Elephas maximus indicus: one gene and its partner. The protein of the gene in region 1 purifies or fractionates together with the protein of each later gene. This does not show direct contact. Links are inferred from orthologs where the notes say so. Each region holds a gene or a part of one and is shown on either strand. Other genes may lie near its edges.

What was found.
Region 2: the proteins of MAP4K1 (region 1) and NUDC purify together in Homo sapiens (affinity purification with mass spectrometry; 3 studies listed by BioGRID and IntAct, with this or other methods). This does not show direct contact. The link is inferred for Elephas maximus indicus from reciprocal best matches to the Homo sapiens genes MAP4K1 and NUDC.

Annotation. Positions count from the first base shown.
Region 1 is NC_064829.1:112,985,841-113,001,921, reverse strand, and holds the start of MAP4K1 (mitogen-activated protein kinase kinase kinase kinase 1), read right to left. Parts: upstream 6,263-16,081; 5' UTR 6,142-6,262; coding exon 6,043-6,141; intron 5,880-6,042; coding exon 5,822-5,879; intron 5,698-5,821; coding exon 5,607-5,697; intron 4,757-5,606; coding exon 4,692-4,756; intron 3,120-4,691; coding exon 3,064-3,119; intron 2,972-3,063; coding exon 2,924-2,971; intron 2,746-2,923; coding exon 2,703-2,745; intron 2,608-2,702; coding exon 2,535-2,607; intron 1,657-2,534; coding exon 1,525-1,656; intron 1,062-1,524; coding exon 999-1,061; intron 860-998; coding exon 778-859; intron 71-777; coding exon 1-70. Other genes in the region: EIF3K (eukaryotic translation initiation factor 3 subunit K), read left to right, coding at 7,489-7,547, 8,763-8,861, 10,080-10,200, 11,395-11,469, 14,163-14,229, 14,339-14,416, 16,015-16,081. UniProt on the Homo sapiens protein: Serine/threonine-protein kinase, which plays a role in the response to environmental stress. Appears to act upstream of the JUN N-terminal pathway.
Region 2 is NC_064821.1:67,358,497-67,374,503, forward strand, and holds the start of NUDC (nuclear migration protein nudC), read left to right. Parts: upstream 1-9,077; 5' UTR 9,078-9,188; coding exon 9,189-9,269; intron 9,270-12,160; coding exon 12,161-12,238; intron 12,239-16,007. UniProt on the Homo sapiens protein: Plays a role in neurogenesis and neuronal migration. Necessary for correct formation of mitotic spindles and chromosome separation during mitosis. Necessary for cytokinesis and cell proliferation.

The DNA of each region.
Region 1 (16,081 bases):
GATTCTTCAGTTTGTCAAGAAGGTCTAGGATCAAGCCTCTGTTTAGCCCAGGCTGGGATACCAGTTGATGCTGGGGGAGGGGTAGGAGAGGGTCAGCACACAGAGGGCTGGTGTGGGGCAAAGGGCTGGCATAGGATCCTGAGAACTTATCTAAGGGGATCTGGAGGGGAGCTGCCAATTGAGGGAAAGGGCAGGGAAGTCTGGAGAATTCAGAGACCTGGGAATTCTGAGTAATTTTAAGGGACTAGAAAACTTTAGGATTCCTAAGAGGCGGGGGTTAGAGCATTCCAGAGGTATCTTGGAGAGAACTGAGGGTCCCCTGGAATTCAAGAGGGCATTCAGGATTGGGTTTTGAGGCCCTTGGAAATGTGTGCACTCTAACAACTCAGGGGACCTTGGAGAAGTCTGGGGTACAATTTGGAGGGATTTGGCAGATTCTGGGAAATTCTGGGGGAACTAAAGACTTTGAAAGGAGCCCTGGTGGCACGATGGCTAAGCGCTTAGCTGCTAACTCAAAGGTTGGTGGTTCAAATCCACCAGCTGCTCCACAGGGCAAAAACCCTGGCGATCTGCTCCAGTAAAGATTATGGCCTCAGAAACCCTATGGGGCAGCTCCACTCTGTCTATAGGGTGGCTATAAGTCGGAACCAACTTGACAGCACGTGACAACAACGACAGAGACTTTGAAAGGACCATGAGGAAGTTGTGGAAAGCCCTGGGGATTTCTAGGGGTGACAAGACTTGGGGGGGAGGGTTTCTCATAGAGTGGAGGTTTACACTGAGCATCTTGGTGGCGCCAGGTCGTTTCTTGGGGTTCTTAGTGAGGGTAACTTTGACAAAGTTGTGGAAGGCAGCCGACCTTGGGAGAGAGAAACCAGGTTCTGGAGTGAGGGGACCAGAGACCTTCCCATCAGACCAACCAACCGTGCCTCTGCCCTCCCTCCCTTCCGCCGCCCTCCCTCCCTCCCTCTGCTCTCCCTCCTATCAGCTTCTCTCACCATTTACCCTTTTCCTTCAGCCGTGGGGGCTGGTAACCACTCTTGGTCATGAGGAACAGAACTCTAGAGGAGTAGGAAGGGAACATGAGGTTCACATCCCTACTTGGGGGTCAGACCTCATGGCATGAGAGGTCCCCAGACCCTCCCAGACAGCACTGAGGTCAGGGAGAGGATGAGAAGGAGGTTCAGGTTTTACAACACACAAGGATGCCACCTCTAGGGGGAGCCATTGATCACATCATAGATCTATGGCATCTGCAGAAGGAGGCTCAAGATGAGGACCTGGCTTTGGGGGCCCCTATGGGATAACGAGTCGGAATCGACTCGACGGCACTGGGTTTGGGTAGTGTATGGGACTGAAGATAAGGCTTTTTGCATTGGGGGAACCCTCGGGGATCTCAGACTGGGCTCGAGGAACAGGGGTCTCCTGTAGGGAGATCTTGATGTGGCAAAGCAGGTTGGGGAGGAGGATTCAGGGTCAGGGCTGGATGGGATCTTGAAGCCCCAGGGGGCTTCTAACACCTACCGGAGAGGGTGCACGTCAAAGAGCGGGGGCTCTAGCTCGGCCAGTTCGATGGCTGTGATGCCCAGGGACCAGATGTCACACAGCTCATTGTATCCCCCTTTCAGGGCCACAGCTGCCACTTCCGGAGCCATCCTGGGGGCAGAGACCCTCAGAGAGCCAGGGATGGCACAAGGAGGGCAAGGGGAGAGAGGGGAAGAGACTCCTGGGGAGTTGGGGGTGAAGAGAGACAAGGAGAAGGAGAACAGGCAAAGGGAGCAAGGGGAGATGTGGCATAGAAGGCCAGACGGAGAGAGAAGAAATACAGACACAGAAACCCTGAGGAGTATGCCCCCAGACGCCCTTTTAGCTCAGCACTGAAGTCAGTCCTGAGGTTCATCGTTCAGCCAAAGATCAGACAGGCCCAAAAAACAAAACAAGACTAAACGAGCACACCAGCCCAGGGGCAAGGATGAGAAGGCAGGAGGGGACAGGAAGGCTGGTAATGGGAAACCTGAGGTCGAGAAGGGGAGAGTGTTGACATGTTCTGGGTTGGCAACCAATGTCACAAAACAAAATGTGTATTAATTACTTAACGAGAAACTAATTTGCTTTGTAAACCTTCATCTAAAGCACAATTTTAAAAAATTAAAAAAAAAAAAAGAAATAGATACAGAAAGATAAAGACAGAGGAACAGAAAAGCATAGAGAGAGAAACAGTGTGTGAGAGTGAGAGAGAAACAAAGGACAGGAGAGCCATGGACTGACCTGGAGGAAAAGAGAGAAATAGGCAGAGCGGGACAGGCAGAGAGAGGAAGATAAAAACTGACACAAACACAGAGAAACAGGCAGGGAAAGGCCTGTGGAGAAACGTGAAACTCCAGAGAGAGCCAAAGAGGACTATGGAATGTTCTACAGAGAAAGACTGAGGCAGGGATAAGGGGCAGGAGCCAGGAAGGTGATTCCTAGACAACCAGGGTGGGAAAAGCCACTACCCCCACCCCACCCCTAGCTGCCCGCCAAGGACCGCTCACCAGTAGGGTGTCCCAATGAAGGAGAGGCGTCGAGCCAGTGTTGCCCCGATCTGGGCCGAGATACCAAAGTCAGCTGGAGGCAGAGAGAGGGACAGAGTGACCTGGGGTCTCCCATCCACCCAAGCCCCTCAACCAGTCCCCCTACCAACCCCCACCAGCTGCACTCACCAAGTCTGACCTCCCCGGCATCATTGATGAGAATGTTGGCTCCCTGGGTGGGCGGGAAGGGGGTTAGAGCGGGCTCTGTGGGTGTCAGAGACACCCCCCACAGCCCACGGCTGGGCCCACCACCCCACACTCAACACCACCCTGTTTCCTGAGCCCCCAGGTGCCACCCTTATGCCCTTAGAGCCCCACCCCCCAAAAGCACGGCACCCCCAGACCACCACCTTGATGTCCCTGTGTATCTTCTTCTGTGAGTGTAGATAGGCTAGTCCCTGGGGAGGAGGGTGGACAAGGCGGCTGTGAGTGGGGGCGGGAGTGTGAGCAAAGCCCTGCCCCACCCAGGCCCACCCAGGCCTCTCCTCACCTGCAGGACTTCCCGGCAGACATAGCTGATCTGGAGCTCGGACAGCGGGCCCGTCACTGCAAACGTGACATGGCCCAGCATTGGGGGGGCGGCCAAGAAACCTTGGTCTGGGTGTCCCTGACCCCCACCCATACTGACTGGGAACATGCCCCAGGGGTGGGGGAGATAGGCTGGGACAAGTGGGAGGGGCAACAGAGGGTGGTCAGCAACAAAGAGGCAGCAATACAAGGAAACACAGGCTGGAGGGACACACAGACCGAGATTCATCCAGCAGATTTTCATTGAGCGTCTACAGGCAGGGGTGCAGATGGCACTGGGGATACAGCTGTGAATAAAACTGAGCTCCTTGCTCTCCTGGGAAGAATGTTCCAGTGGGAGGAAACCAAAACGACTCATAGTGACCCTATAGGGCAGAGGAGAACTGCCCCACGGGGTTTCCAAAAAGCAGCTGGTGGATTCGAACTATCGACTGCTTGGTTAGCAGCCAAACACTTAACCACTAAGCCACCAGGGCTCCACCAGTAGTACAGATGATAGCAAACAAGATACAAAAGCGGTGTACTCTATGCGATGTTAATACACGGTAAGAAGGAAAACAAGGCAGGAAAGGAGAATGGGTAATACATGGGGAAGGCTAAAAAAATTCTTCCCAGGCTGGTCAGAGAAGGCTTCTGGAAAAAGAAGGCAGCGGGGCAGGGATGGGAGCAGCCCCACTCCGAGGGGGAACGGCAAGTGCCAAGGCCGGGAGGTGGGAGTGTGCCTGATGAGTTTGAAAGACAGAAGGTGGGTGAGCTGACTAGGGGAAAAGGAAAGTGTAGGAGGTGAGGTCGGGCAGCTTGGGGGCAGGTCAGGCTCTGCGGGCCGTGATAAGGACCTGGGGTTCTATTTGGAGGGAAATGGGAGCCGCAGAGGGCTCTGAGCGAGAAAGTGAAGTGATCTTGCAAAGCGAGGGAATGCAGAGACAGATCCAAACTGAGACTGAGACAAGAAGAGATGGTCAAGGACTAAAACGTGGGAAGACAGACATGTTTAAAAAGAAAGACACAGAGGGGTATAGAGGAAACAAGTGAGAGAGACAAGAAACAGGACAGACAGACCAAGTCTGACAGACTGCCTCTATGAATCACTTCCTCTCTGTGGGCCTCAGTTTCCCCCATCTGAGAACTAATGACGTTCCTCCTTTTCTGACATTTGAGGTTCGAGCTGGAGGGAATCAGAAATTCAAATTCTCAGATTCTCAGAGAGGGTGAAAGGCAAGCTGAGAGAGACCCAGAAATTCATTTTCAGTGAAAACGTGAGTACCTACTATGAACCAGAAATACAGAAATACTCAACCGCACTGAGAGACACTGGCACGAAAATGCAGACAGGGAGACAAAGATGGAGAGTGGAGGGTGAGGGGGTCATGGAAGGCAGAGAGGCTCAGGCTGGGCTGTCAAGTCCTTGGGGACAGGGTCCAGGGCTCACTGGGTCACTGCGGCATAGTAAGCATTGTCAGGCCAGGGCCAGAGGAGGGCTACAGTGTGTAAAGCAGGGGACCAGACTGTCCCAGAGAGATGCAAATAAGACAGACAGGGAGAGACAGGAGAAGTGGGGTGGATTTGAGGATCCCTTGTTCTTCCTCTCACCTTGGTAGATGTCCTGGAGAGAGCCAGCCCCACAGAATTCCATGCAGATCCAGAGCTTCTGCAGCCTACAACAAACCAGAAGTGACAATAATATCGTAACGACACAATAATAGAAGAACGTAACAATATAATAACGACGGCAGCAATAGCGGCAGCAATGTTATCGTTTATAAGAAGGAGCCGCTGGTCCACCTCTTGTCTTGTTCTGGTTCAACAAGCACTCTAATGTAACAGCTGTCATCTCTCTATCTCGCCTTGCCCACCAGAGTGAGATCTTTCCATTCCCGTCTTACAGATGGCAAAGTTGAGGTTCAGAGAGGAAATGTACTTTCAGGGTCAACTAGACTAGAACCCAAGTCTTTGTGCTCCAAACCCAGGAGACTCTCTGCGTCCTGTGATAACCTAGGAGACTGGGCCAAACAAGCATCTCACAGGTTGGGGAGGCTGGGAAGGGATGGTGGGGGCCCAGGAGGCCAGGTCTGGGGATAGTGGTCATCACTGGGGCAATTCTCTGCATAAGAAGCAGGGAATGAAACTGGAGGACCCAAAGGGCAGGATGATGAGAGATTAGCTTTAGGGGACTCAGGTATCAGATTTAGTCACTATGGAGGGATCAATTTGGGGACCTGTGGTCAGAAGTGGAATTTCTGGACTGGGGATCCGATTAGAGGGTGCCCCAGTGAGAAATGAGGGTTCAAGGTTAGAGATCAGGTTAGGGTACCCAGGTCAGAAATGGAAGTGCAGAATTAGGGACCAGGTTAGGAGGCATCCTGATCAGAAACAGGGGTCCAGATTTGGGGATCAAGTTAGGGATGCCCTGTTCAGAAATAAGACTTCAGGATTAGAGATCAGGTTGGGGGCCCGGAACAGGTTGGGGGCTGGGCTGGGTCCTGGGGCAGGTCTTAGTCTCCTTACCAGAGGTAAGTCCCATGGTAGGCCACGATGTTGGCGTGCCGGCAGGTTTTCAAGATGAGGATTTCCTTCTGAAGAGTGGAGACGTCGTCATCTGTGAGGACAGGTGGGGGAGAGAAAAAGCGGCTGCAGAGAGGGGGTCATGGGGGAGGTGGCCCCAGTGTCCCAGGAGGTGGGGGTGAGGGTATGGGGAGGGAGCTCCTGGATCTTCGCCTCACCAGGCTCCATCTTCACCATCTTCAATGCCATCAGGTCCCCAGTCACCTTGTCTCGAGCCTTGTAAGGGGAAGTTAGCAGTCAGACGGGTGCCACATGCCTGAGTCCCTCCTCAGCATCCCGGAGCCAAGGCCAGGCCCTCTTGCATTCCCTTCCCTTCCCGGGCCTTCTCTGCTTTGAGGGTGATGAAGACAGACTGGAGGTGGGGGAAGGGGCCCCTCACCTTGAAAACTTCCCCATAAGTGCCGCCCCCCAGCCGCTGCAGCAGGTCGTAATGGTCCCGGGGGTCCCTATTAAAGATGTCGGGATCCACGAAGTCCATCCCTGGAGGCTGGAGCTGGGCCTGAGCCCAGGGGGCCAGCAGGGCCACAGGGCTCAAGCGCTGGCACCTCCTTCCCTCTCTACACGCCCTGCACCCGCCTTGCCTCCGCGGGCTGTGGCCTTCCCCCTCCCCACTCTCGCTTCCTGCCCCAGCACAGGGCTGTGCAGCCAGCTCCACCCCCTGTCCCCTGGGCCCTGACAGCCTGTGAGGGGCAGCTTTTGTCAGGACCCAGGGGACCCCCCTCCACCCCTAGGGTGTAGGACTGGATGTAAATGAGATGCAAACGATCTTAATTGTGACCCGGGGGGGGGTGCCCCAGCAGGCCCCTTTCCAGTTCTGGGTGGGAGTGAAAAACCATAGTTGAACCTCTGCTGTGTGCATGAGGGTTTGGCCACTACACGGAGGTGGCAGGTTTGCACAGGAGATGGCTACGCAGTGTACATTGCCCGTTCACCTGGGATACATACATGCACTTATGTGTTACCGCCTGTGGGGTGTGCAAATCTGTAGACGTGGTACATGTCTGTATACCCGTGTGCACAAACGTGCATGTACCCAGAACACATGAAACACACGTCTGTGCGCTCACGCTTGTAGCGTGCAGCCTGTATACACATAGCTCTTGATCGCACATTTGCGGCTGCTCGCCTTCGCTCCGAAGCCTGGGGCTTAATGGGGACTGGGAAGATGCAGCGGGTCCAGGAGCCCCTTACTCAAGCCCTGCGAACTTCTACCCGTGGAGCTGCCATGAAGGATGGGGACCACGGTCCAGGACTTGAAACTGGAGAGCTCAGGATTCTGCCTCTAGCGGCCACGTCTGGGACGGAGGTGGAGGGAAGGGGGGAGGGCAGAACCTCAGAGAGCACACCCCTCGGGACTTGGCCATGGCCCGAGGGAAGGGCTACTACGTGCATTCCCGCACAAGTATGAGTTCACAGCCGCGTGCAAGAGGACGAGTGTGTATGCCATTAGTGCTCAGACTCCCGCCCGGAGAGTTCGCGGGCACACAGGCCGGTGTCCTGAGACTAGGAACGCGAGGCCCGGGAAAAGCTTAACCCCGCCCCTCGCCCCGAAAAGACGCCTGCGCATCGCGGTAGACTGAGCTTTTTCTCACTCCGTTGGGCCTGCTCAGATGGAGCGAGTGCGCACGCGCCGTTTGCGTCTGCTGGGAAGAAGTCACGTGGTAGCCGGAAAGCGTGACTGCTGCCGCTGCAAGAGTCACCTCCCGGGGCCGGACGATAACAATGACGTATTTCTTCTTCCATCACCCCTTCCGCTTCCGGTGTTCGAGGGCCCCGTGCCGGCGCGGTCTGCTACTCCAGCCCGGGTGTGGGGGCGCCGGTGGCCATGGCAATGTTTGAGCAGATGAGAGCGAACGTGGGCAAGTTGCTCAAGGGTATCGACAGGTCTGAGTCCCGTTGGGGGGAGCGCTTCTGGCCAAGCGGGGTGGAGGAGAGGGCTTTCCGGAGACATCGAAGGGTAGTCAGGGTCCCGTGGCTGTCCTGGGCTGGGGTCTCTGTCATTCTCCATGTGGAAGTCTCGTTCTGGAGGAGGAAATGTCTAAGGAGACAGCACTGCAGAGGTCTAGAGGCAGGAGAGAACCTTGTTTATCACTTGCTCTCCCTCTGTTTCTGTTCCTCAGTTTCTCACTGTGTCAGTGCCTCGGCCTCGCCTTTTTTGGCCCCTCATGTCACTCACTGGTCACTGTTACCGACTCTGTCAGTGCTGGGCGATGCTGGGGCTTAGAATTGACCAAGATAGCTGCAGACCGTGCTTTCACGGAGTTCCCAGTCCAGAGGCGATAAGAGTGATACGCGGGAATGGTTAGGCTGGGATGGGGGAGGCACACGCAGGGGGTTCGGAATGGAATGGGGAAATATAGGGGGCTCTGGAAGCCTGAGGTAGGGGAGACACCTGATCTAGCTTGGGCCAAGGGAGGCTTTTTGAAGGTGGTGAAGTCTAGATTAAGACCTGAAAGACAAGTGAGAATGAGACAGGCGAAGAAAGATAATGGGAAGACTTGAACTGGGCAAGAAAAGGAAGAAAGGAGTTCTGGGCAGAAGAAACACTATGGACAAATGCTTTGAGAGGAAATGAGCTTAGGGGCCACATCATGGAGGGAGGGCACTGGGGAGCCATGGAATGATTTTAAGCAGGAGAGGGACGTGGTCACGTTTATGCTTTAGAAAGACTTCTCTATTGTGTGGATGGGGGGCGGTGGCGGGAGGAGTCTGGAGAAAGGTGGAAGACCAGTGAAAGGCTATGAAGGGACCCAGACAGGAAAGGATGGGACTGAACCAGGGTGGGAGCCTGGAGAGAGGCTAAGGGGTTGGGTGGCAGAGGTGTTTAAGGGGCCAGGTATACAGGCTGCAAGGTGGTGGAGGCATCTAGGACAAGACCCAGGGCTCCAGTGGGACTGGAGCTTGGGTGAGAGATCTGGTATGTGGAGAGATTTTATTAGAGATTATGGAGCTGATTCAAGATTGGGGCGGGACAAGTGTCCCGTGCCAGATTTAGAGGGAAGGAAGGGAGGGAGGAGCAGGTCATAGTGGCCCCCTGGCCTCGTAAAGTGGGCTCAGCTCCTGTCTCCTTTCTGTTTACCCATTTTCTTCCTCCTCTAGGTATAATCCTGAGAACTTGGCCACCCTGGAGCGCTATGTGGAGACGCAGGCCAAGGAGAATGCCTATGACCTGGAAGCCAACCTCGCTGTCCTGAAGCTGTGAGTATCTGCCCCCGCCCCCATCCCTATGCCAGCAGCCAGCAGGGTGCTACTTTCAACGTGGGGAGGACTGGGAAGTTAGCCTGCAGGATGTGGCTTCTCTTGATATGCAAGACCAGGAAATCAAGGAAGCTGAGTTTTAAAAAACCAATTGGAAACATGTGTATAGGATAGTAGTACAGAAGATGAATGTGCAAGGTAACAAGGAACTGTAAACAGGCACTCACGCAGTCGCCATCCATACAGCAACGTCAGGTGTCGCTAGTGCCCCGGGAGCTCTCTGCCTACATGCTCTGTGCCGACCACCTCACCCCCCCCCCCATTTTGGCAACTCCTCTTCGCTCTGGCAGCAAGGCTTTATGTGATAGTTTACCACATGTGCCTGCGTCTTGACTGGCTCCGCTCAGGTTTGCGTCTGAAGTTTGCACACGTGGAGTCCTGCGTCTGGCGTCTGCTCAGTGGTGGATCTGTGAGTGCCATCCAGTTTTTTGTAGCAGCAGTTTGTTGTTGCTGTAAGGTGTGTGACTCCATTCTAATTCCCCTTTCTCCTGTCGATGGGCATTTGATTACTTCTCTCAAGTATTTTCTTTGACACACGACCAACTGGGTAATCTTCGCAGATTATGCAGCCTCGGGTTTTTCATCTGTGAAACTGGGATGATGATGTTTGAAATTGTGGGATTGTTTGGTTTGTTACTGGTGAGGATCACTGCTTAGTGAGCCCCCACCATGTGCTAGCTGGGTGTTATACTTTGTACGTATTAACTGGTTTAATTGCTCTGTTGTTTCTGTGAGGTATGGTTGTTCTTATCCCCATTTGCAAGGGAGGAAACTGAAGGACAGAAAATTTAAAACACGTAATCTGAGGTCACCTAGCCGGGAAGTTTAAATCCAGGCAGTCTGGCTCTAGATCCTTAACCACTGCACCAGGTACTTGTTGTATACTCTTACATACGTGAATCACTTATAACAATACCTGCCTCGTTGGGCGATGGTGTGTATTAACTGTCCTCCTCTATAGAGCAGGAGCGTGTGGCTGAGGAAGATGAAGGTCATGCAGCCACAAAGTGTTGCAGTTGGAAGTGGAGCCCAGGCATGTCCACCTCCCGAGCTCCACAGCCTTGTGTGGCCAAAGCAGTGGGCAGTCTGATGGGTACCTGGTGCATCTCGGGGACCTGGAGGTGCCACTGTTGCTGTGTCTCTTACTGCCCTTCTCAGGTACCAGTTCAACCCAGCCTTCTTCCAGACCACCGTCACTGCGCAGATCCTGCTGAAGGCCCTCACCAACCTGCCCCACACCGACTTCACGCTGTGCAAGTGTATGATCGACCAGGCACACGTATCCTTCCAGCTCTGGGGCCAGGGTTTGCAGGGGAGGTGGGTGTAGGTGAGCTCCCAGGGATGTGGCTGTGGCTTCATCCACAAACACTGAGTGCCTGCTCTAGGCCAGGGCCTGCCCTCCTGTAGCTCACAGTCCATTGGAGGAAACAGACGGGTCCCTGTGAGTTATAGCTCAGAGTGGTCAGGGCTGGGGAGCCAGAGAAGGCACCTCACCCTGCTCTGGAGGTTAGGGGAAGCTTCCTGGAGGAGAGAACTTTTGAAAGATGAGGAGTTAGGTGAAGAGCTCGGAAAGGGCGATCCAGGCAGACGGAACAGCATGTAGGGAGGCCTGGAGGGAAAGAACAACTTGGTGCCATCTTTTAGAGATGGCAGAGGAAGTTCAGCTTAGGCTTGCCATAGGTTTTAAACTGGAATGTGGTCAGACTCAAAAAGGGTGCTGGGAAGCCACAAAACACTTTAAAAAGCTCAGCAATACAGGTAGATTAATGCTTTAGACAGATTCCCCTCAGGGTTCTCAGCTGAGGAGGCACCACCAGGCAAGAAGCAGGAGAGGATGGGGGCTGTGACTGGGGCCCGGGCAAGGGACAGGACCCTGTTTTGATAGCTTTCAAAAACAAAGGCATATGGCACCTAAATTGGAAAGCATGAAAGAATACCAAAAAAATACAAGGGAATAGGCAGTGAAAACGCCAGGCTTCTTCCTTCCCCTGTCCCATGGCTGCGGCACTCCATTCCCATGAGGCAGCAGTTGTTTGTAGTTCCTGGGTACTGCTCCACGGGTATTCTGTGGCTATGTAAATACGGATGTGTGTTTATATGCACGTATTTTTCCCCATCCATACGGTTGGATGTTAGGCACACTTGTCTGCATCTTGCTTTTTTCATGTCATTGTGTGTCTCAGCAAGCTCTCCCTCGTCGGTGCTGTGAGTGACTCGATCCCAGAGTATGGATATGCTGAGTTTATTTGCATCGCTCTCCTCGGTGGACACATACGTTATTTCTCATCTCTTGCTGTTACGGTAATAGGGCACACACTGTCCTGCGTGTGTCCACAGAAGAAATAAGAGGGGTTTGTTTCCCACTTCTTCTGGGCCTTTGGAAGAAAAGTTAGGTGGGGAGGGATGATTTAGGACCCAACACCAGCCTCTTCAGGCTCCAAGGCCGTTTTCCCTTAACGCTTCCTCCTCCCAGCAAGAAGAGCGGCCGATCCGACAAATTCTATACCTCGGAGACCTGCTGGAGACCTGCCACTTCCAGGCCTTCTGGGTAACTTTCTTTGGGTCCCAGGACAGGCTGGGTGGGTCCCAGGACAGGCTGGGTGGGTCCAGGGTCAGTGGGGTTGGGCCGTGGTGAGCAGACCATTGGCTGCCTCTGTGGTGAAGGGCCCTGTGCTCTGTGCATTGTGTGCGTGATCCTGTGGGACCATTATCCTCCTCACACAGAGCCCACGAGGCCAAGGCTGAGTCTGTCCCTCGCTTCTCCTCTGCATCCTTCATCTGGGCTCTCTGGCACTTGTCATCTGTCATAAGTAGAAACCTTCCATTAGCTTTTTCTCTGCACATTCTTCCTTCTTGCTGTGACCAGAGCCTGGGCCCTCACTGAGGCTGTGCCTTGTCCTGCAGCCCCCAAGTCGGGCAGTTGGCCACCTCGCCTCTTTGTTCCTCCCCGCCACTCACAGAGCCATCTCCCCCTTCCCCTGCCCGAAGCCCCCAGTCCTGAAGCTCATGCCGTCAGCGTTGATCACAATCACGTACTAACTGGCTTTGTGGGTATCAGCCACAGTCCCTGGATCTAGCTCCTACTCAGGGCCACTCTGCCCAGTCAGATGATGATCCTTTACCATCGACCTCTTGGTTCCTTGCTCTCTTGTTCAGCTCTCTAGCCCTCCACCTGGCACACTCACCCCCATAGTCATGTTCTCGTCCAGTTCTTTGCAGCACGTTAAACCCCGGAGGAGCTTTAAAAAATACTGACACTTGGGTTCTGCCCTCACAGAGCCTGGGTGTCATCTAGGCTTTGGGATTTTGAAAATTATCTCCGGTAATTCTGATCTCTGGCTAGGGTGTGGGCCTACTGCCCTCACTAGATTTGTCCTCATTGGTAATGGTGCCTCTCCTCCTCCTGTAGATTTCGAACGTCTCCATCCTCTGACTGCTTCCTTCTGCCTTCCCAGCTCACTTGCAGAAGGTCCCTAACCCACCATTGTTACCTTGATCAGCACCAGCAGCTCCAGCCCTCTGTTGTTCATGTTCTCCTGTCCTGCTTCCTTCCCCACCCTGTCCGCACCCACCTGGTAACGATGAACGCGGCTAGAGAAACAGCCACCAGGAGCACATCGCTTCCTGGAGCCCACAGCATTCAGCTCCCTGAGCAGGCTGGCTTCCTGGCCCAGCTTGTCCCCCCTCTAGCTGCCCTGGACATCTTTTCTGCCTTCTTGTCTCTTCCCCTTCTACTCACGCCAACTTAGTCTGGCTTATTGTTTCGTGGGAAGACAGAAGCAGTCAAGGCAGAACTTGTGTGTGCTCCTGCCCCTAGTCCTGGCATTCCGCCCATGGCTGATCCCAGCACCTCACCTGCAGCTGACTCACACTTTACTCTCTCAGGGGTGAGGGGTTGTCTAAGGCCACCCACAGCACACTGGGTCCACTCGGAGCTCTCCCTGACTCCCCTGTAGCATCGCACTTATTCTGGACTATTCCTCTCAGTATAGAAGCACCTCTAATATGCAGTTAAAAAAAGAAACCAAACCCACTGCTGTCGAGTCGATTCCAACTTATAGTGACTCTATAGGGCAGAGTAGAACTGCCCCATAGAGTTTCCAAGGAGCGCCTGGCGGATTTGAACTGCCAGCCTCTTAGTTAACAGCTGTAGCACTTAACCACCATGCCACCAGGGTTTCTAACATGCAGTTAGTTCTATCTAAAAAGTAAAAAGCATCCTTGACCTCCACGTTCCCCATCAGCTCCCCCTTTTGTCTACATCTCTTTACGGCCACACTCCTGGGTAGAGGGACCACCTGTCCTGGTTTGCCTGGGACTCTCCTGGTTTTAAAACTTAAAGTCTCACATCCCAGGAAACCCTTCAGTTTTGGACAAACAGGAACATTTGGTCACTCTGCTACTGGAGTGCGTTGTCCGTGCTGTTTCTGCTTCCCTCCCTGCTCGCTTGAACCCACTCTATTCAGACTTTAATTTCCCACCCCCACACATTCCACTGAAACCACCCTTGTCAAGGCTAGCAGTCAGGCCTCACCTTAGCTGCCCCGCTGGCCGCCACTGAGACGGGTGATCATGCTCTGCTCCTGAACACTTGATTCAAGCAGGACTACTGCTCTCCTGGTTTTCTCCTTCTGCCTCACTGGCTGAGCCTTCAGAGTGTCCTGGTGGGCTCCACCTCATCCCCTCACAGGTGTGGGAGGGAGCCCTTGCTGGGAAGGTGACGTCTGAGCAGAGATCTAAAGGAAGTGAAGGTGCTGGCCATTGGGGAAGGGACTTCCACACAGGAACAGCCCATGCAAAGGCCCTGAGGCAGGAGCGTCCTGGCCTGTTGGAGGAGTATTGAGGAGGCCATGTAGCTGGAGCAGGGCGGGTAGGAGGAGACGCACTCACAGGTGACAGAGGCAGGTGATGTGGGTCTCATAGGCCACGGTAGGGCTTTGACTTTCACCCTGAGCCAGACAGGAGCAAGGGGAGGTGGTTGAGTGCGGCTTGCTAATCTGTATCTGTCCCCTCTCTTGTGTCCTGCCTGCCAGGGTTCAAACCCACCTCTACCACCTTGGGCAAATCATTTTAGGTGCTCCGCGCCTTGGCTTCCTAATCTCTAAAATGGGCATGAGCACAGTAACTGTTATGTCCGGGTTACGACAGGAGAGTGCCTGGCATGCGAGGTGACTCCTGGCATATCAGCTGCTGTTGTAATTAATGTTAGCGTCATCGTGAATGTTCTTCTTCCCCTCACAGCAAGCTTTGGATGAAAACATGGACCTCTTGGAAGGCATTACAGGCTTTGAAGACTCTGTCCGAAAATGTAAGCCCCTCCCTGTGCCCGACCCCCCTATTGGGAGGGAACGGGGTGGGGAGTGGGAGCAGAGTCTTAGGGGGGCGGCCCCTCACTGTTTTTGTCTCTGACCCCCCAGTTATCTGCCATGTGGTGGGCATCACTTACCAGCACATTGACCGCTGGCTGCTGGCCGAGATGCTTGGGGATCTGACGGGTAAGGTCCTTGTAAATCTAGGAGAAAATCTGGTGGTCAGGGCCAGTTAACCTGGCCAGTGTGGCAGATGGGCCCATGTCTGCCTCACCAGGTGTGACTGAAGGCCCAGTCCAGGAGGGTAACCACAGTGTGTATAAGACGTCCCTTCCTCGGGGGATATCTTAGGCTATTCATTCACTGATCTGCATGAATGCCAGGCACTGTGCTAGGCCGTGGGGACGCCACAGTGGACAAGACAGGATACGCAGCTTGGTTCTCACGGAGGTAGCAAGACAGCAGACTGGGATGTACGTGTACAAGACAGGAGGAGGTGGCAGCACTGGAGCCATTCCCTCGTGGAGTGCGGGTCCCTCGTGAAGCAAGGTGGGCAGCCGGGGGCAGTGCAGAGGGGAGCTCCTGAGGGAGGCTGTGCTTTGGGCCGCTTGTGCTCCTGGGGCAGTGAGGGCCAGTGGGGCTGGAGCAGAGTGTGCGGGCGAGGCTGGGGGAGAGGTCGGAGGGGCAGTGGTTGGAGGGGAGCCCCCAGACTGCATGGGGCCTCCTGACGGCCGTGTCCTTTACCGGAGTGAGATAGAGCCACAGAGGAGGGACAGGACTGAGTTTACGTTATTAAAAGATTTCTCCAAAAAAGAAAAATAGTACCGTGTTCATATGTGCGTATGTGTATGTATTTGCTTTTATCAAAAAAAAGTAGGGAGGAAAACGATGACTCCCAAGAGACGGGGTAGGAATGAGGAGGAGCAGGGTGGGCTTGGGGGTGAGACTTCCCATGTTTTTTTTTTTTTTTTGCCATTTGATCCAGGTAGTTTTTTAGTAGCCAAAGTGACATTTTTTGTTTTTAAATTGTGATAACAAAACATTTGATGTTTCCCCAATCTAGCAGAAGACTGCTTTTATTTAGATACTTTGTGTCAAGCAGTATACCAAGGGCTTTCCCTAGGTAGCTGTTGTACGTTATAAAAGAGTGCAACAGAGCCAAAGGGGCATAGCACCAACCTGAGAATTGAGTAAAGAGAAGCAACCGAATCTTCTAATCGCGTTGACAAAATTGGTAACACTCGTACAGGAGAGAATTAATTCAAGTCACGGAACACAGTCGCCTGGCCGTACGTTCTCGTTAGCATATTTTCCAGGGACAAAAAAAGAACTACGAAGAAATACTCAAACTTGACGCAAAGGCTTATTGTCAGTGGGAATGACAGCATTGGAACTTGGAAACCATGTCTTGTGGGTTGTGGGCAAAAGCAGACAAGTAAACACATTACTCTTGTTAGGAGCCAAGATTTTCACTGGGAGGGAAGGGAGAGAAATACAAAGAAGTGAAGGCAGAATCCATGTGCTGTTAAATGTGAGAAAACAAAAAAGCTGCCCCTGGCTGCAGGTAGGAAGACGAGCTCTGGAAGGGCAGGGCGGCCACAATGGGACCTGTCAGGCTGTCATGGCCTGGAGAGAAGATGCAGGTGGCTTCTGGTCTGGTCTGAAGCAGTCAGGCAACAGGGGTGCCCTGGCCTGGCGAAGCCTCGATTCCCTTGGCTCCCAGGCTCCCTGGGGTGTTGGGATTGGGGTGACTGAAGCCCCCGTGCTGCCCCATGTCCCTGCAGACAGCCAGCTGAAGGTGTGGATGAGTAAGTACGGCTGGAGCACTGACGAGTCGGGCCAGATCTTCAT
Region 2 (16,007 bases), on another chromosome or scaffold:
GCCTGGCTGGGGCTCTGACATCTGTTCTGGGTGCCTCCCTCCCCGCGCTGGTGCAGAATTCTACCTAGTTTTGCTCTACCTAACAATTTTAGGACTGAATTTTTCAGGAAGGGAGAGAAGAGGAAGAGGTAGAGCTGTCAATGGTTTTAAAAATAAATTTCTAAGCCAAACACCTCACGAGGGTTGATTTTCTGGATTTGAAGGCTTAGGACCATACTCTCATGGGACAACTCAGTTAAATGGCATAATATAGTTTATAAAGTATATGTTCTACATCCCAATGGGGTGAGTAGTGTCTGAGGTCTTAAAAATTTGTGAGCGGCCACCTAAGATACAGGTATTGGTCTCATCCGGAACAAAAGAGAAAGAAGAAATCCAAAAACTCAGAGAAGAAAGTAGTCTACAGGACTAATAGTCTACACAAACCACAGACTCATCTACCCTGAGACCAGAACTATGTGGTGCTTGGCCATTGCTACTGACCATTCTGATCAGGGCCACATTAGATGGATTCTGATAGAATGGGAGAAAAATGTAGAACAGAACTCAAATTCTTAAACAGTCCAGACTTACTGAACTAGTTGAGGCTAGAGGACTGCCTGAGACTATCACCCTGAGATACTCCTTTTTTTTTCTTTTTTTGAAACAGATTTATTGAGATATAATTCTATAGCAAACAATTCACTCATTTCAAGTGTACAATTTAGTGGCTTTTAGTATATTCACAGAGTTATGTATCACCAGAATTTTAGAATATTTTCATTATCACATAAAGAAATCCCACACCACTTAGCCATCATCCCTAATTCTCCCATGACCCCCAGCCTTAGGCAACCACGAATTTACTCTTTGAGATTAAAAAAAAAAAAATTTCTATTGTGCTTTAAGTTAAAGTTTACAAATCGTCAATCTCTCATACAAAATCTTATATATACCTTGCTACATACTCCCAGTTGCTCTCCCCCTAATGAGACAGCCTGCTCCCTCCCTCTACTCTCTCTTTTCGTGTCCATTTTGCCAGCTTCTAACTACCTCTACCCTCTCATCTCCCCTCCAAGCAGGAGATGCCAACATAGTCTCAAGTGTCCACCTGATCCAAGAAGCTCACTCCTCTCCTCACCAGCATCCCTCTCCAACCCATGTCTAGTCCAAACCCTATCTGAAGAGTTGGCTTTGGGAATGGTTCTTGTCCTGGGCCAACAGAAGGTCTGGCGGCCATGACCACCAGGATCCTTCTAGTCTCAGTCAAACCATTAAGTCTGGTCTTTTTATGAGAATTTGGGGTCTGCATCCCACTGCTCTCCTGCTCCCTCAGGGGTTCTCTATTGTGCTCCCTGTCAGGGCAGTCATCAGTTGTAGCCAGGTGCCATCTAGTTCTTCTGGTCTCAGGCTGATGTAGTCTCTGGTTTATGTGGCCCTTTCTGTCTCTTGGGCTCATGATTACCTTGCGTCCTTGGTGTTCTTCATTCTCCTCTGATCCAGGTGGGTTGAGACCCACTGCTGCACCTTAGATGGCCGTTTGCTACATTTAAGACCCCAGATGCCACTCTCCAAAGTAGGATGCAGAATGTTTTCTTAATAGATTTTATTATGCCAATCAACTTAGATGTCCCCTGAAACTATGGTCCCCAAACCCCCACCCCTGTTACTCTGGCCTTCGAAGCATTCTGTTTATTTAGGGAACTTCTTTGCTTTTGGTTTAGTCCAGTTGTGCTGGCCTTGCCTGTATTGTGTGCTGTCTTTCCCTTCATCTAAAGTAGCTCTTATCTACTGTCTAATTAGTGAGTACCCCTCTCCCTCCCTCCCTCCCTCCCTCCCTCCCTCCCTCCCTCCCTCCCTCCCTCCCTCCCTCCCCACTCTCATAACTATCAAAGAATATTTTCTTCTCTGTTTAAACTATTTCTTGAGTTCTTATAATAGTGGTCTTATACAATATTTGTCCTTTTGCAACTGACTAATTTCACTCAGCATAATGCCTTCCAGATTCCTCCATGTTATGAAATGTTTCACAGATTCATCACTGTTCTTTACTGACGCGTAGTATTCCATGGTGTGAATATACCATAATTTATTTATCCATTCATCCACTGATGAGCACCTTGGTTGCTTCCATCTTTTTGCTATTGTTACGTGCTGCAACGAACATGGGTATGCATATATCTGTTCGTGTGAAGGCTCTTAATTTCTCTGGGATATATTCCAAGGAGTGGGATTGCTGGATCATATGGTAGTTCTATTTCTAGCTTTTTAAGGAAGCGCCAAATCGATTTCCAAAGTGGTTGTACCATTTTACATTCCCACCAGCAGTGTATAAGTGTTCCAATGTCTCCACAGCCTCTCCAACATTTATTATTTTTTTGTTTTTTGGATTAATTCCAGCCTTGTTGGAGTGAGATGGAATCTTACTGTAGTTTTGATTTGCATTTTCCTAATGGCTCATGATCGTGAGCACTTCCTCATGTATCTGTTAGCTATGAAAGTCTTCTTTAGTGAAGTGTCTGTTCATATCGTTTGTCCATTTTTTAATTGGGTTATTTGTCTTTTTGTAGTTGAGTTTTTGCAGTATCATGTAGATTTTAGAGATCAGGAGCTGATTGGAAATGTCATAGCTAAAAACTTTTTCCCAGTCTGTAGGTAATCTTTTTACTCTTTTGGTGAAGTCTTTGGATGAGCATAGGTGTTTGATTTTTAGGAGCTCCCAGTTATCTACTTTTTCTTCTGCCTGTGACACCCTTTAAACCATAAACCAAAATTATCCCTTGAAGTTACCTTTTGGCTGAATAACAGATTGGCTCATAAAATAGAGAATATCACCTGTGAGTAATGAACTTCTTTTAAAAAATCATCCTTAGGAGACCAAATGGTCAAAAATCACTCTAAAGCAAAGATGAGAAGGGGCAGGGAAACCAGAGCACTGGAAATGGTACAACCAGAATGCAATGAATGAGAATGATGACACATTGTGAAAAATGACTGCAAACCACCTAACTATATCCCACCAAATCCAAACTAAATGTATCCCCAAATTAACTTCTCCTTCACCAGAGTCCAAAATTCCTGTGGCCTCTCCAACATCATCCGATTTGCGAGGAAGTGTGATAGAGGGGGAGGTTAGAGTGGGAAGAAACAGTGGTCTTAACTGATTGCAGTTAAAAAGTCTTATTTTTCCAAATTCAAAAGAAAAAAAATGTATTTGATCCTGTGAAGACATTGCTGGGGCCTCACCCAGTGCCTTGAATAGGGCCATGCAAGTGTGAGGTCCTGTAGTTCAAGCTTCATTGCTTCACAGAAAATCCGCCTCTGGTGGTGCCTATCCTGGGCATTTACAAGGCTCAAAGGAGGTGTCTGTGAGGACATGAAGGACCTGACACACAGCAAGTACTCCACAAATGATGGTGATTATTATTACTGTTGTTGTTGCTGCCGTCCTCATTTTCTAGGAGGCTAGAGGAGAAGGAGACCCAGAGCAGGGATGAGGCCCTTCTGCAGGTGTCATGGCAAAGCTGGGCTGGAAGTTGGGTTCCTGGCTCTAAGTCTTGAGTTCTTTGCACTGCAGTGGATTGTGTTTTCTGAGCCCTTTGTGTGGCCTAAAGGCCAGGGTGACAGTCCTAGAGGTCTTGGAGGGTGAGGAAGGCCTCAGTCATTTGTTCAGAGGGGTGGAGGCATGTGTGGGGCAGAGAGTCCATCAGCTGCTCTCTGACCAGGCCCTACCCTTAGTCTGATGAGGGGAGGGCAGAGTCCTGCCCTCAGAAGCCCTCTGCCTGATATGGAAGACAGTCCTGCCCTGGGGAACCCCAAATCTGATTGAGTGACCGAGGCCAGCCCTCAGAGACCATAGTCTGAAGTAGGAGATGAGCCTTGCTCTTGGGGGCCCTCAGTCTGATGGGGGAGACATAGGCCAACCCTCAAAAGTCCCCATTCTGCAGAGAGAGATACAACTCTGGTCTCAGTACCTCCAACTCTGATAGAGGAACCAGGACCCCCCGTATCACTGGGGGGAGAAAATACAAAATAGATTGGTGGAGCTGAGTAGCTTGAATTGGGAAGGTTTTCTGGAATCCCCGGCAATGCAAACGATTAACACACTCAGCTGCTAACCAGAATTCTGGGGGTTTGAGTTCACCCAGAAGAAAGGCCTGCTGATCTACTTCCTAAAAATCAGCCATTGAAAGCCTTAGGAGTCATAACCATACACCTCACTGGGCTTGAGAGCTAGGAATCATAGTCTTGGGGGACATCTAGGTTAATTGGCATATCAAAATCCATATAGACTGTGTTCTACATCCTACCTTGGTGAGTAGCGACTGAGGTCTTAGAAGCTTTCAAGTAGCCATCTAAGATAAAACAATTGGTCTCTTCCCATCTGGAGCAAAGAAGAGTGAAGAAAACCAAAGACTCAAGGGAGCAATTAGTCCACAGCCAACATTAGCTTGAGACCAGGAGAACTAGATGGTGCCCAGCTACCACTAACAATTGCTCTGACTGGGACCACAATAGTAGGTCACGGACGAAGTGGGAGAGAAATGTAGAACAAAATTCAAACTCATAAATAAGACCAGACTTTCTGGTTTGATAGAGACAGGTGGAACCCCGAGACTATGTCCCTTAGGCATCCTTCAAACTTCGAGTTGAAATCACTCTCGGAGATCACATTATAGCCATACAATAGACAGGTCTATAAAATGAATGCCCTGAGGCATATACACCTCAGAACAATCAACTATCTGTGAGATCTAAAGGGCAGCATTTGCCCAAAAGCAAAGTTCAGAAGGAAGTAGGGGCAGGAAAGCTGGGTGGATGGACACGGAGAAGCCAGGGAGGAAGTGGGGAGAGTACTGACACATTCAGGGGTTTGCAACCGATGCCACAAGACAAGCTGTGTACAAATTGTTGAATGGGAAACTAATTCGCTCTGTAAGCTTTCACCTAAGCAACAATAAAATGTCCAAATACAAAGACAGAAAGAAAACCCTGTGGAGCACAGTTCTACTCTGACACACATGGGGTCACCATGTATTGAAATTGACTCAACAGTTTTTTTTCTTTTTTCCTTTTTCTGAAGGAAAAGTTAATGATAATATTCTCTCGTCTGTACAGTACTTTACATTTCTAAAGCACTTTCACAATTATCTCAGTTAGTCCTCACATAACAATGGGGTTAAGGTGTGACTATTCAAGCAGGAGCAACAATCATCATTCTAATAATTGTAATGACTGCCACTTATTGAGCACCTGTGCCAGGCACGGGGCTGCATATTATCTGTAAAATTAAAGAGAGACCAATGAGATAAGGTGTTTGAAAATGCTTTACAGTCCCATGACCAGGGTGCACATGTTTGCTCTTGGTGTGTACAGAGGCCTCAGACTGGTGGAGGTGCGGCTGGGAGATCTGGAGTGCAGAGGGCCTGGCTTTAGGCTTGGAACTGGGAGATAGCCAGCACTAGGCAACTTCTCATTCCTGGAACGCGTCATGCACCTTCATGCCTCAAAGATCTTGTTCATGCTGTTCCTCCTGCCTGGGATGCCTTTCCCTTGCCCAGTCTGTTTGGTAAGCTCCTGGTCACCCTTCTTGGTCTAACTCAGTGTTACTGTCCACAGCCTTCCCGCCTTTCCCTCTCCACCTCTCCAGCAGCATAAATTGCTCCATCTCTGAGTTCCCAGGTCATCTAATCCACACTCCTAATATAGCATTTAGCTCACAGTGCTTGTTATGCATTGAATTGTGTTCCCAAAAAAATGTGTCAGCTTGCCTAGGCCATGAGTCCCAGTATTGTGTGGTTGTCCACCATTTTGGAATCTGATGTGATTATCCTGTGTGTTGTATAAATCCTAACCTTTACGATGTGAATGAGGAAGCATTAGAGGCAGTTATGTTAATAAGGTAAGACAGAATCTACAGGATTATGCTGTATCTTGAGTCAATCTCTTTTGAGATATAAAACAGAGAAGCTAGCAAAGAGGAGTGAGACTTCATACCATCCAGAAAGAAGTGCCAGGAGCAGCACATGTTCTTTGGACCTGGGGTCCCTGCGCAAAGAAGCTCCTGGACCAGGGGAAGATTGATGACAAGGAACTTCTCCCAGAACTGACAGAGAGAGAAAGCCTTCCTGGGGAGCTGGAGCCCGAATTCAGACTTCTAGCCTCGTAGACTGTGAGAGAATAAATTTGTTTGTTGAAGTCATCCAATTGTGGTATTTCTGTTACAGCAGCACTAGATAATTAAGACAGTGCTGTACTTACACACTTAACTGCTGGTGGTAGTGTTCAAACATTGATATGGTCAGAGGTCATTAGAGGAGGCTGACTGGTCATCTAGACGCCATCTTGGGCAAAGTTTATCATCTAGGTGAATTCTTCTGGGTCTAAGATCAGGGCTGGTTTCTCAGGGAGGAGTCACATAAAACAGTGATGGGAATTGACTTATAAAGTCAGAATGCCAATTTAGGGAGGCAGAACTCTAAGACGAAATGGGTAAGTGTGTCGGCTCTGGGGCCAGGCTGCCTGGGTTTGGATCCTGGCTCTCCCTTCCAGATATGTGACCTTGAGCACGTGACCTCTCTGTCCCTATATCTCACCCTCTAAATGGGAATGATAAGAGCATTTACATCATAGGAGCATTGTAAGCAAAAGTCATGGACATTTAATCTATATATCAGGATTAATAAAGACTTCGCAGAGGAAGTAGCATTTGGACTGAGACCTGATGGATAATAATGAGTTGGCTGGCAAAGGCTTAGGAATCAGGACAGGACATTTTAGGAACTGAAAGAAGCCATTGAAGAGGGAGCCTGGTGAGTAAAGGTGGGCTTGGGACAAAATGAGACTGGCGAGGTAGCCAGGGCCCTGATGGTGTTGCTCCTTAGAGGTCGTGCTTGAGAGTTTGGAATTAATCCTGAATGCTATGGCTATCCACTAAAGGGCTAATTTTAAGCAAGGGAGTAACAAGATACGTTTTACATCTTAGAAGGATTGCTCTGGCTGCTGGGTGGGGGATGGATTATTAAAAGGGACAAGAAAAGTAGTAAGGGGACCAGTTAGGAAGCCACAGGAGTAGCTGTCCAAATAAGAGATGTACTGGCTTAGGCTGATGTGGCAGCAGCAGAGATGGTGAGAAGGCAACAGAATCAGGATGTATTTTGGGGAGAGACAGACAGTACTAATAAATGAGTCTAGAACTTGGCTGGAGTCTCTGAGTGACACAAATGGTTAAGTGCTCAACTACTAACCAAAAGGTTGGTGGTTCGAACCTACCCAGAGGCACCTTGGAAGAAAGGCCTGGCAATCCGCTTCAGAAAAGTCAGTCTTGAAAACCCTAGGGAGCACAATTCTACTCTGGAATACATAGGGTCACCATTTTAGTTTAGCATTGGGCTTGAGAAAATGGGTGGAGGTTTTGCCTTTGGCAAATGAGTGCTTGAATGGGGCACTTAAGTCAATGGGGAAGATTTTGGGAAGAATTAATTTGTTGTGTCTATCCAATGGCATACAACAACATGAACAAGGCCCGCTGCCGTGAAGTCAAATCCAACTCATACCAACCCTATAGCACAGACTACAACTGCCCCATAGGGTTTCCAAGGAGCGGCTGGTGGATTTGAACTGCCGGCCTTTTGCTTAGCAGTCGTAGTTATAAACCACTGCACCACCAAGGCTCCACAACAACAAAGGGGGAGTATTAATGTTGGCCATGTTAGTTCTGAGATACCTACTAACTCCAATGGAGGTGTCCAGGTGGCAGTCCAATAGACGAGCCTGGAGCTCACAAGAGGTTTGGGTCAGAGATGTCAATTTGGGCTTCATTAGCATGTAGTTGGTAATTATAACCATTGCATTCAGTGAGATCACCTAAGGAGAGAGTATAGATAAGAATAGAGGAGAGAGCAGTGGCTAGAACCTCCAATATTTACAAGTCTGCGCAGCACAAGACACTGAGAGAGTGTTAGAGAGGTGGAAAGAAAACCAGGTCCCTGTGGTGACACAGAAGCCTAAAGAAAAAAAGAATTTTCAGAAGAAAGAAGGGGTCAACTGTGTCAAATGCAGCTGAGAGGTCAAGTAAGATAATAGTGGTCCATTGACTTTGACAATGTGTAGGCCATCTGATCTTCATCAAACCTCTTAAGAACAGACTAATTAGAATAAGTTGAAGACCAATGGGAGTTGAGGAAGTAGAGAAACAAGTATAGCAAACTTCTAAAAAAGCTTTGCTGTGAATAAGAGCTAAAAAGTGGGGAGGTAACTGGATCAGAAACTCAGTGCACAGACTATTAAAAAAAAGATACTAAAGCATGTTTGTAAATTGATGGGAATGATCCAAAAGAAATTTGTGATGCAGGAGATTAAAAAAAAAAAAAAAAGGATAATTGCAGGGTTAGGATCCCTGAGAAGACTAAGATGGTGAAATTCATTGCATTAGTAGAGGGACTGGCCTTAGGTGACTGGGACCTGTCCCTCACATTAACAGGAGTCAAAGTAGACTAAAGGGCCGGTTCCATGATCACGGAGTCCGAAATGAAAAGGTAGAACCACTTATTAAAAAATCATTAAGAATTTCAAGACTGTGCCAGCAGAGCATCAAACCAAGTGCGAGGCTTTTCAGACCTGGGACCCTGTGCGGCTTTGGCTGCTCATGAAGCCAGCCTTGGTCAAGTATGTGATGATGACAGAAGTAGGCTGTCGTTTGGGCAAGTTTCTTTTTTCTGGGTCTCAATTGCCTCATGGAAGGGTTGGAAGAGATGATAAGGGCACTTTCATCTCAGCTCCACCGTTCTACAAGTAGGGAACAAGGCAAAGGACCAAAGTTTGTGCCTTTTTCACTTCCAACCCCCCCATATTTGAGCCCAAGGCTTTCTGGAAGGCTCCAAAGCATCTGGTGACCATAGCAACTCACGCCAAGCTCCCCAACTCTGGGCTCCGCCCACCACTTCTTGGATTCGCTTATTGATAGGCTCAGAAAGCCGACCAATGGTCGGCGAAGCGGGCTGCTTCATGCGCAGTCAATGGCCGAGAGAGCGGAGGAAGGCGGGAAGGGAAGGGGAGAAGGCGGGCCGGGGCGTGTGGCAAGTGCGTATTTCCTGCTCCGCTGCGGAAGGCGGAGTGGAGCCGTTGGGCCCGAGGCGACCAGGAGGAGCGTGGATCGGCGGGCGACAGTGCTGAGCGCGGATTTCTTAGCGCGGAAAGGGACAGGCGCGATGGGAGGGGAGCAGGAAGAGGAGCGGTTCGACGGCATGCTGCTGGCCATGGCGCAGCAGCACGAGGGCGGCGTGCAGGAGGTAACCGCCCGCGCGGCGTCGGCCCGGCCTGGTCCGGCGGTGCTGGCCCATTCAGGCGGCCCTAGCCACGCTCTCTCAGCCCTTCTCTGCCCTCGAGGCCCGAGAGCTTCCTCCGGGCCTCACTCGCTTCCGGGACCCCCACCCTCCGACATTCCCACCGCTCTTGAGCTTCCGGTCTGGCCTCCCAGCCAGCGTGTCCCACTCCTCGGGTGTCAATCCCGGCCCCATGGCGCCCTTCAGTAACTTCTAACAAAGTAAACGTGGCATTCCTGACCCGACCCTTTCAGATTCTTCCCCCAGAGCCTTGGTATATGCCCTTGGTCTTACACATGCTTCCAGCCCCGGTACCCCATAGGTGGCTGCTTCCAGAGAGCATCCCTTACGACGAGCCATGCCAGACTCTCATTTGCATCTACCACAACTTGTAGTGAGTCGATGAGTGTGTGCGGGGTGTGTGTGGAGCGATGATGTTAGCACGTGGTTTTTCAGGGTGTGAATGGGGGAGTAGGAGGCTTGTTCTCGCAGTTGATTTCCACTACCTGGGAAGCTTGGGACCGTCCCACCTTTCCAAGCCGCATTTTTCTTATCTCTTAAAATGGAGCTGCAAATCCCTGTTTTCCTGAATCGTTGTAGGAGAGTGGTATCTTGAAGAGCAGTGAGGAGTTATAAATAATCAGGCTTGTTCATTCAGCCAGTGTTTGGTGAATAACGTCTGTCAGACACTCACTGGAGCCCTGGTGGCACAGTGCTTAAAAGCTCAGCTGCTAACCAAAAGGTCAGCAGTTCGTATCTACCAGCTGCTTCTTGGAAACCCTATGGGGGCAGTTCTACTCTGTCCTGTAGGGTCACGATGGGTCTGAATCCACTCTGTGAATGAGTTTTTTTTTTTTTTTTTAAGACACTTTTTTTGGACTCATTGGGCTGGGTCCCGGGGATACGGAGGTGAGCAGAAACTTGTCCTTGCCCTGAAAGAGCTTACAAAGAGCTTTTTTAAAAAGCATAAAGCATGCTGAGCGACCCCGCAATAATAACATGTAGTCTGTGAATGGTAAGGATCAACTAGTGTAGATTCTTGAGTTGGTTTTTTGAAGCAGAAATCTGGAAAGTTAGAGGTAGAACAGTTGTTAAAATCAGTCCAAAGCTTCATTTTATAAATAAAGAAATGGAGACCCAGTGACTCCTGACCTCCGCGAGACCAGACTCCGTAGGCCGTTGTACTTTCCACAGTCCTTTTGCTGATTTTCTTCCTCAGTGGGGACAAGTTTTCATTGACCTATCCATTTCCATTCTTTCACTCAGGTGCCTGTTGTGACCAAGGGCTCCCAAGCCCTTTGAGGTGTGGGGGGTGTTACTAATTTGCAAGTGTGAAAAGGCTCCCCCTCCCCCTGTTCCCCTAAATTGTTGACACAATACCAGGTTTGAGAGAGTTCATTTTTGAGAGAATTGATAACATGTCTACCACCCACCCACTGCCCTCAAGTATGAGTATGAGATAACATGTCTAGAAGTTTCAGTTCCCTATTGAAATTATTGAGGTAAATTCTAGCATCAGATTTAGAACCCTTGGGCGAGTAAAATGGCTTGAATGTGCTAACTCTAGATCACCATTAGATCTGTTCATTCAACAAATATTTTACTGAGCATATACTCTGAGCCTGATATGGTGCCAGACATTGGGGATGTAGACAGGCTAAGTTAGTCGTTCCTGCTGTTAGGGGTTCATCCTTTAGCAGTGGGTCTGTTGTGCTGTGCCATTTACTGCTAAGGGCCTTACCTTCATTACCTCATTTATTCCTCACAAGGTGCCCAGAAATGGGTCCTGCTGCTATTCCTGTTTTACAGAGTTAAGAAACTTCCCCAAGGTCACACAGCTGATAAGTATCAGTCTGAAACTAAAACCCACGTGTCTTAGTCATCTAGTGCTGCTATGACAGAAATATCACACCAGGGTGGCTTTAACAAAGAGAAGTTTATTCTCTCACAGTCCAGTAGGCTAGAAGTCTGAATTCAGGGCACCAGCTCCAGGGGAAGGGTTTCTCTCTCTTTCGGCTCTGGACGAAGGTCCTTGTCATCAGCCTTCCCTTGGCCAGGGGCATCTCAGCACAGGAACCTCAGGTCCAAAGGATGCGCACTGCTCCTGGCACTGCATTCTTGGTGGTATGAGGTCGCCCTGTCTCTCTGCTTGCTTCTCTCTTTTATATCTCAAAAGAGATTGGCTTAAGACACTGTTTAATCTTGTAGACCTTGTCAGTATAACTACCACAAATACATCTTATTACATCATAGTGATAGAATTTACAACGTAGAAATCACATCAGAAGATAAAATGATAGACAATCATACAACCATATAAGGGAATCATGACCTAGCCAAGTCGACAGATATTTTTGGGGGGACATAATTCAATCCATGACACCATGCTCTTAATCACCTGGCTACACTGGTAACCCAACCAGAGTCAGCTGGTCTTGACCTTCTTTTAAGTGGTTTCATTTGCGCCCCCCCGTGCCCCCCCCCCCCCCCCCCCGCCCCAGTTCTGCCCTGGTAGTTTAGCCAGCACTACTGATGGGTTTTTTTTTATTTTTCTGGAGAGGAAGGTTGGGCCCAGACATTTTAAGCTCTGGATACAGAGAACTGAATGTTTCACATCCTCAGGCTACATGTAAACACACACAAGAAGTGAGACCTCCCAGATGGTCCAAAGTTAGAGTAAGCTTCCTGGTGGGAGTGACTAAGGGAACTGGAGGAGGGAGATGTCTCAGTTGAGAGGCTCCAAGGTGAGAGAGTTAAGTCCCAAGCTCCCTCCTAGACTAAGGAAGTTGGCTTCTATTTAGTTGAGAGCCTCCCAATATGGCGTCTCCATAGCTTTAGTTTTCTCTCTTTTCTTTCAGCTTGTGAACACCTTCTTCAGCTTCCTTCGACGCAAAACAGACTTTTTCATTGGAGGAGAAGAGGGTATGGCAGAGAAGGTGAGCATTGGGGGCTGCTGTCCCTTGAGCAGCTCTGTCTCTTCAGAAAAATTCACCTGGCCTTCCTTTGGTATAATAGTAATCTCTAGCGGAAGCAAAATGCCAAGGGCAAGGGGGAGAAGGGATGCAAGTTGTCATTTTTTGAAGCTCCACTGTTAACGATGTACTTTATCCACGTGATTTTCATATGATCCTTAGAAGTTCTGCAAGAGAGGTAGGTGTTACTATCCCATTTTTACAAATGAGGAAAGTGGGTCAGGGATCTTTTGCAACAGAAAAATGGGCAATTCTCAGAAGACTGACAAGTTTCAGACTGACAAAAATCGAAAAGAACATTGCAGTGATGTAGAAGAAAGGACACTTTTTCAGACATTGCTGGTGAAGGTAAATTATTATAGCTTTTAAAAACTTGAGAATATTTCAAACATAAGCAAAGGTAGAGAGAGTAGTCCCAGGAATCCCTGTGTAACCCATCCCTTTGCTACGACAATCGTTAACTCCTGACCACTTTCCTTCAGGTTATTTTGTAGCAAGTTCCAGGCATATTTTTGGATTTGCAAATATTTTGTGAATACCTAAAAAGGATAATTTTTAATCAACATATCTTTAATGCTAATTGATTATAAATTTTCCTTAAAAGAAATTAAAAAAACAAGAATAAACCAGTTGGCTATCAAGTCAGTTTTGACTCATGGTGACTCCACGTGTGCCAGAGTACTGTAGAGCTGTAGTCCATAAGGTTTTCAGAGGTTGATTTTTTGGAAGTAGATTGCTAGGCCTTTTTTTCCATGGCATCTCTGGGTGGACTCGAACCGCCAACCTTTAGGTTAGCAGCCGAGCGTGTTAACCATTTGCACCACTCAGGGACTACATCTAAAAAGAAATAATAATAAAAAAAAGAAATAGCAAATGGTAATTCCTTAAATATCATCCAGTATCCACTTACGATTCATATTTCCCCCAATGCTTTGCTTCTTTATTTCTTTAAAACAGCCTTATTGAGAGAGAATTCACATATCATACAGTTCACCCATTGAAAGTGTACAATTCAGTGGCTTTTGGTATATAGGTTTCCCCTCCTATCCAGAAGTACAGCATTCCTATTACAAACCTTCATAAGCTGAAATGCAGGAAAATGAAGTAATTACTACTACGAAATTTTTGAGTGTTGCCAAATGCAAAAAATAACCTACCAAATCATACCAAATACCACATGAAACCTAAAATAAAACTAACATAGTAAAAACAGAAATGATAAATAAATACACAGCCTATATAAAGTAGATGCTGAATGTAGCTCACGGGGAAGGAGCTTGGTGATGCCACTCTTGGGGTGCAAGCTGCCTCTTTAACACCTCGCTGCAATGCTGAATGCTATTTCCGCTTTTCATCTTTTTTTTCTAGAAGTGAAAATCCTCTTTGGATTTCATTCTTTTAGCAAAAACGGTATTAATGTAGATCTTCCATAAAAGTGAAGTGGTATAAAGCGAACTTTCAAAGAATGGGGGATATCTATATTCACTGATACATGTATCCATCACTGCAGTCAATTTTAGAACGTTTTCATCACTTTAAGAAGAAACCCTGTGTCTTCTAGCTATTATCTATCTACCCCACCCCGTCCAGTCGTCTCCAAAATCTTGTGTGCTGCCGTTGAGTCAATTCCAACTCATAGTGACCCTATAGGACAGAGTAGAACTGCCTGTAGTGTTTCCAAGGCTGTAATCTTTATGGAAGCAGATTGCCGCATCTTTCTCACATGGAGTGGCTGGTGAGTTTGAACCTCTTACCTTTCGGTTAGCAGCCGAGTGCTTAACTACTGTGCCATCAGGGCTCCTTTCCCAACCCTTAAGCAATCCTCACCAATCTACTTTCTGTCTCATAGATTTCTGTATTCTGGACTTTTATATGAATGGAATGATAACACTCTGGTTGGTTGTGACTGGTGTCTTTCACTTAGTATGTTTTCAAGGTTCATTCATGTATCAGTACTTAATGTTTTTATGGCTGAATAATATTCCATTTATGGGTATACCACATTGTGTTTATTCATTTGTTCATTGATGGACATTTGGGTTGTTTGCACTCTTTGGCTCTTATGACTAATGATGCTATAAATATTTGTGACCATCTGTATATATTCTTTGGAGAAATGTCTACTGAAATCCTTTGTCCATTTTTTAATTGGGTTATTTGTCTTTTTATTATTGAGTTGTAAATGTTCTTCGTATATTCTCGACACATGTCCCTTATCAGATGGAGGATTTGCAAATATTTTCTCTCATTCTTTGGATTACTTTTTCACTTCAATGGTATCCTTGGAAGCACAAATGTTTAAAAAAATTTTTTTTTTTTTAATGACTCAGCTCTTCTCTTTTTTATTGTGCTTTAGGTGAAGTTTTACAGCACAAATTAATGTCCACCTCCGGACAGGAGCTGCCAGTTTAGTCTCGTGTATCTACTTGAACTAAGAAGCACAGTCTTCATGAGTATTATTTTACGTTTTACAGTCCAGCCTAATCCTTGTCTGAAGAGTTGGTTTCTGGAATGGTTTTAGTTCTGGGTTAACAGAGAGCCTGGGGGCCATGTCTTCTGAGGTTCCTCTAGTCTCAGTCAAACCATTAAGTCTGGTCTTTCTACATGAATTTGAGTTCTGTGCCCTGCTTTTCTCGTGCTCCACTGGGGACTATCTGTTGTGTCCCCTGTCAGGACAGTCATTGGTGGTGGCTGGGCACCATCTAGTTCTTCTGGTCTCAGGCCGATGGAGTCTCTTGTTTATGTGGCCCTTTATGTCTCTTGGGCTAGTATTTTCTTTGTGTCTTTGGTGTTCTTCAGTCTCTCTTGCTCCAGGTAGGTTGGGGCCAGTTGATGCATCTTAGATGGCCACTTGCAACCTTTTAAGACCCCAGATGCCACCCACCAAAGTGGGGTGCAGAACGTTTCCTTAATGAAGTTTGTTATGCCACTTGACTTAGATGTCCCCTGAAACCATGGTCCCCAGATCCCCACCTCTGCTACTGTCTCCCACGAAGTGTTTGGTTGCATTCAGGAAACTTCTTAGCTTTTAGTTTAGTTCATTTGTGCGGACTTCCCTTGTGTTGTGTGTTGTCCTTCCCTTCACCTAAGTTAATTCTTGTAAATGTTTTTAATTTTGATGAAATTCAATTCATTTGTTTTATTTTGTTGCTATCTAAGAATCCTTTGCCAAATCCAAGGTCATGAAGATTCACTGCTGTTTTTTTCATGGAGTTCTATAGTTTTTACTCTTATATTTAGGTCTTTGATCCACTTTGAGTTAATTTTGTATGTGGCGTGAGGTAGGGGTCCAAGTTTATTCTTTTACATGTGAATAGCCAGTCTCAGTACCATTTGTCTCTGTACTGTTTTTTTATTTCCCCATCGAATAGACTTTATACCCTTGTGCAAAATCAGTTGACCATAGATGTATGGGTTTGTTTCTGGACTCCCAGTTCTATTCCATTGATCTGTATGTCTGTCTTTGTGCCAATAGCATACTGTCTTGATTACTGTTACTTTGTAGTATGTATTGAAATTGGGATATGTTAGTCTTCCTACTTTGTTCTTTTTTCAGGATTGTTTTGGCTATTTTGGGTCCCTTGCAATTCTCAAATGAATTTTATAATCAGCTTGTCAATTTGTACCAAGAAGTCACTGGGGATTTTAATAGGAATTGTGTTGAATCTGTAGATCAGTTTGAGGAGTATTGCCATCTTAATGCTGATGTTCCAGCCCATGAACATGGAATGTT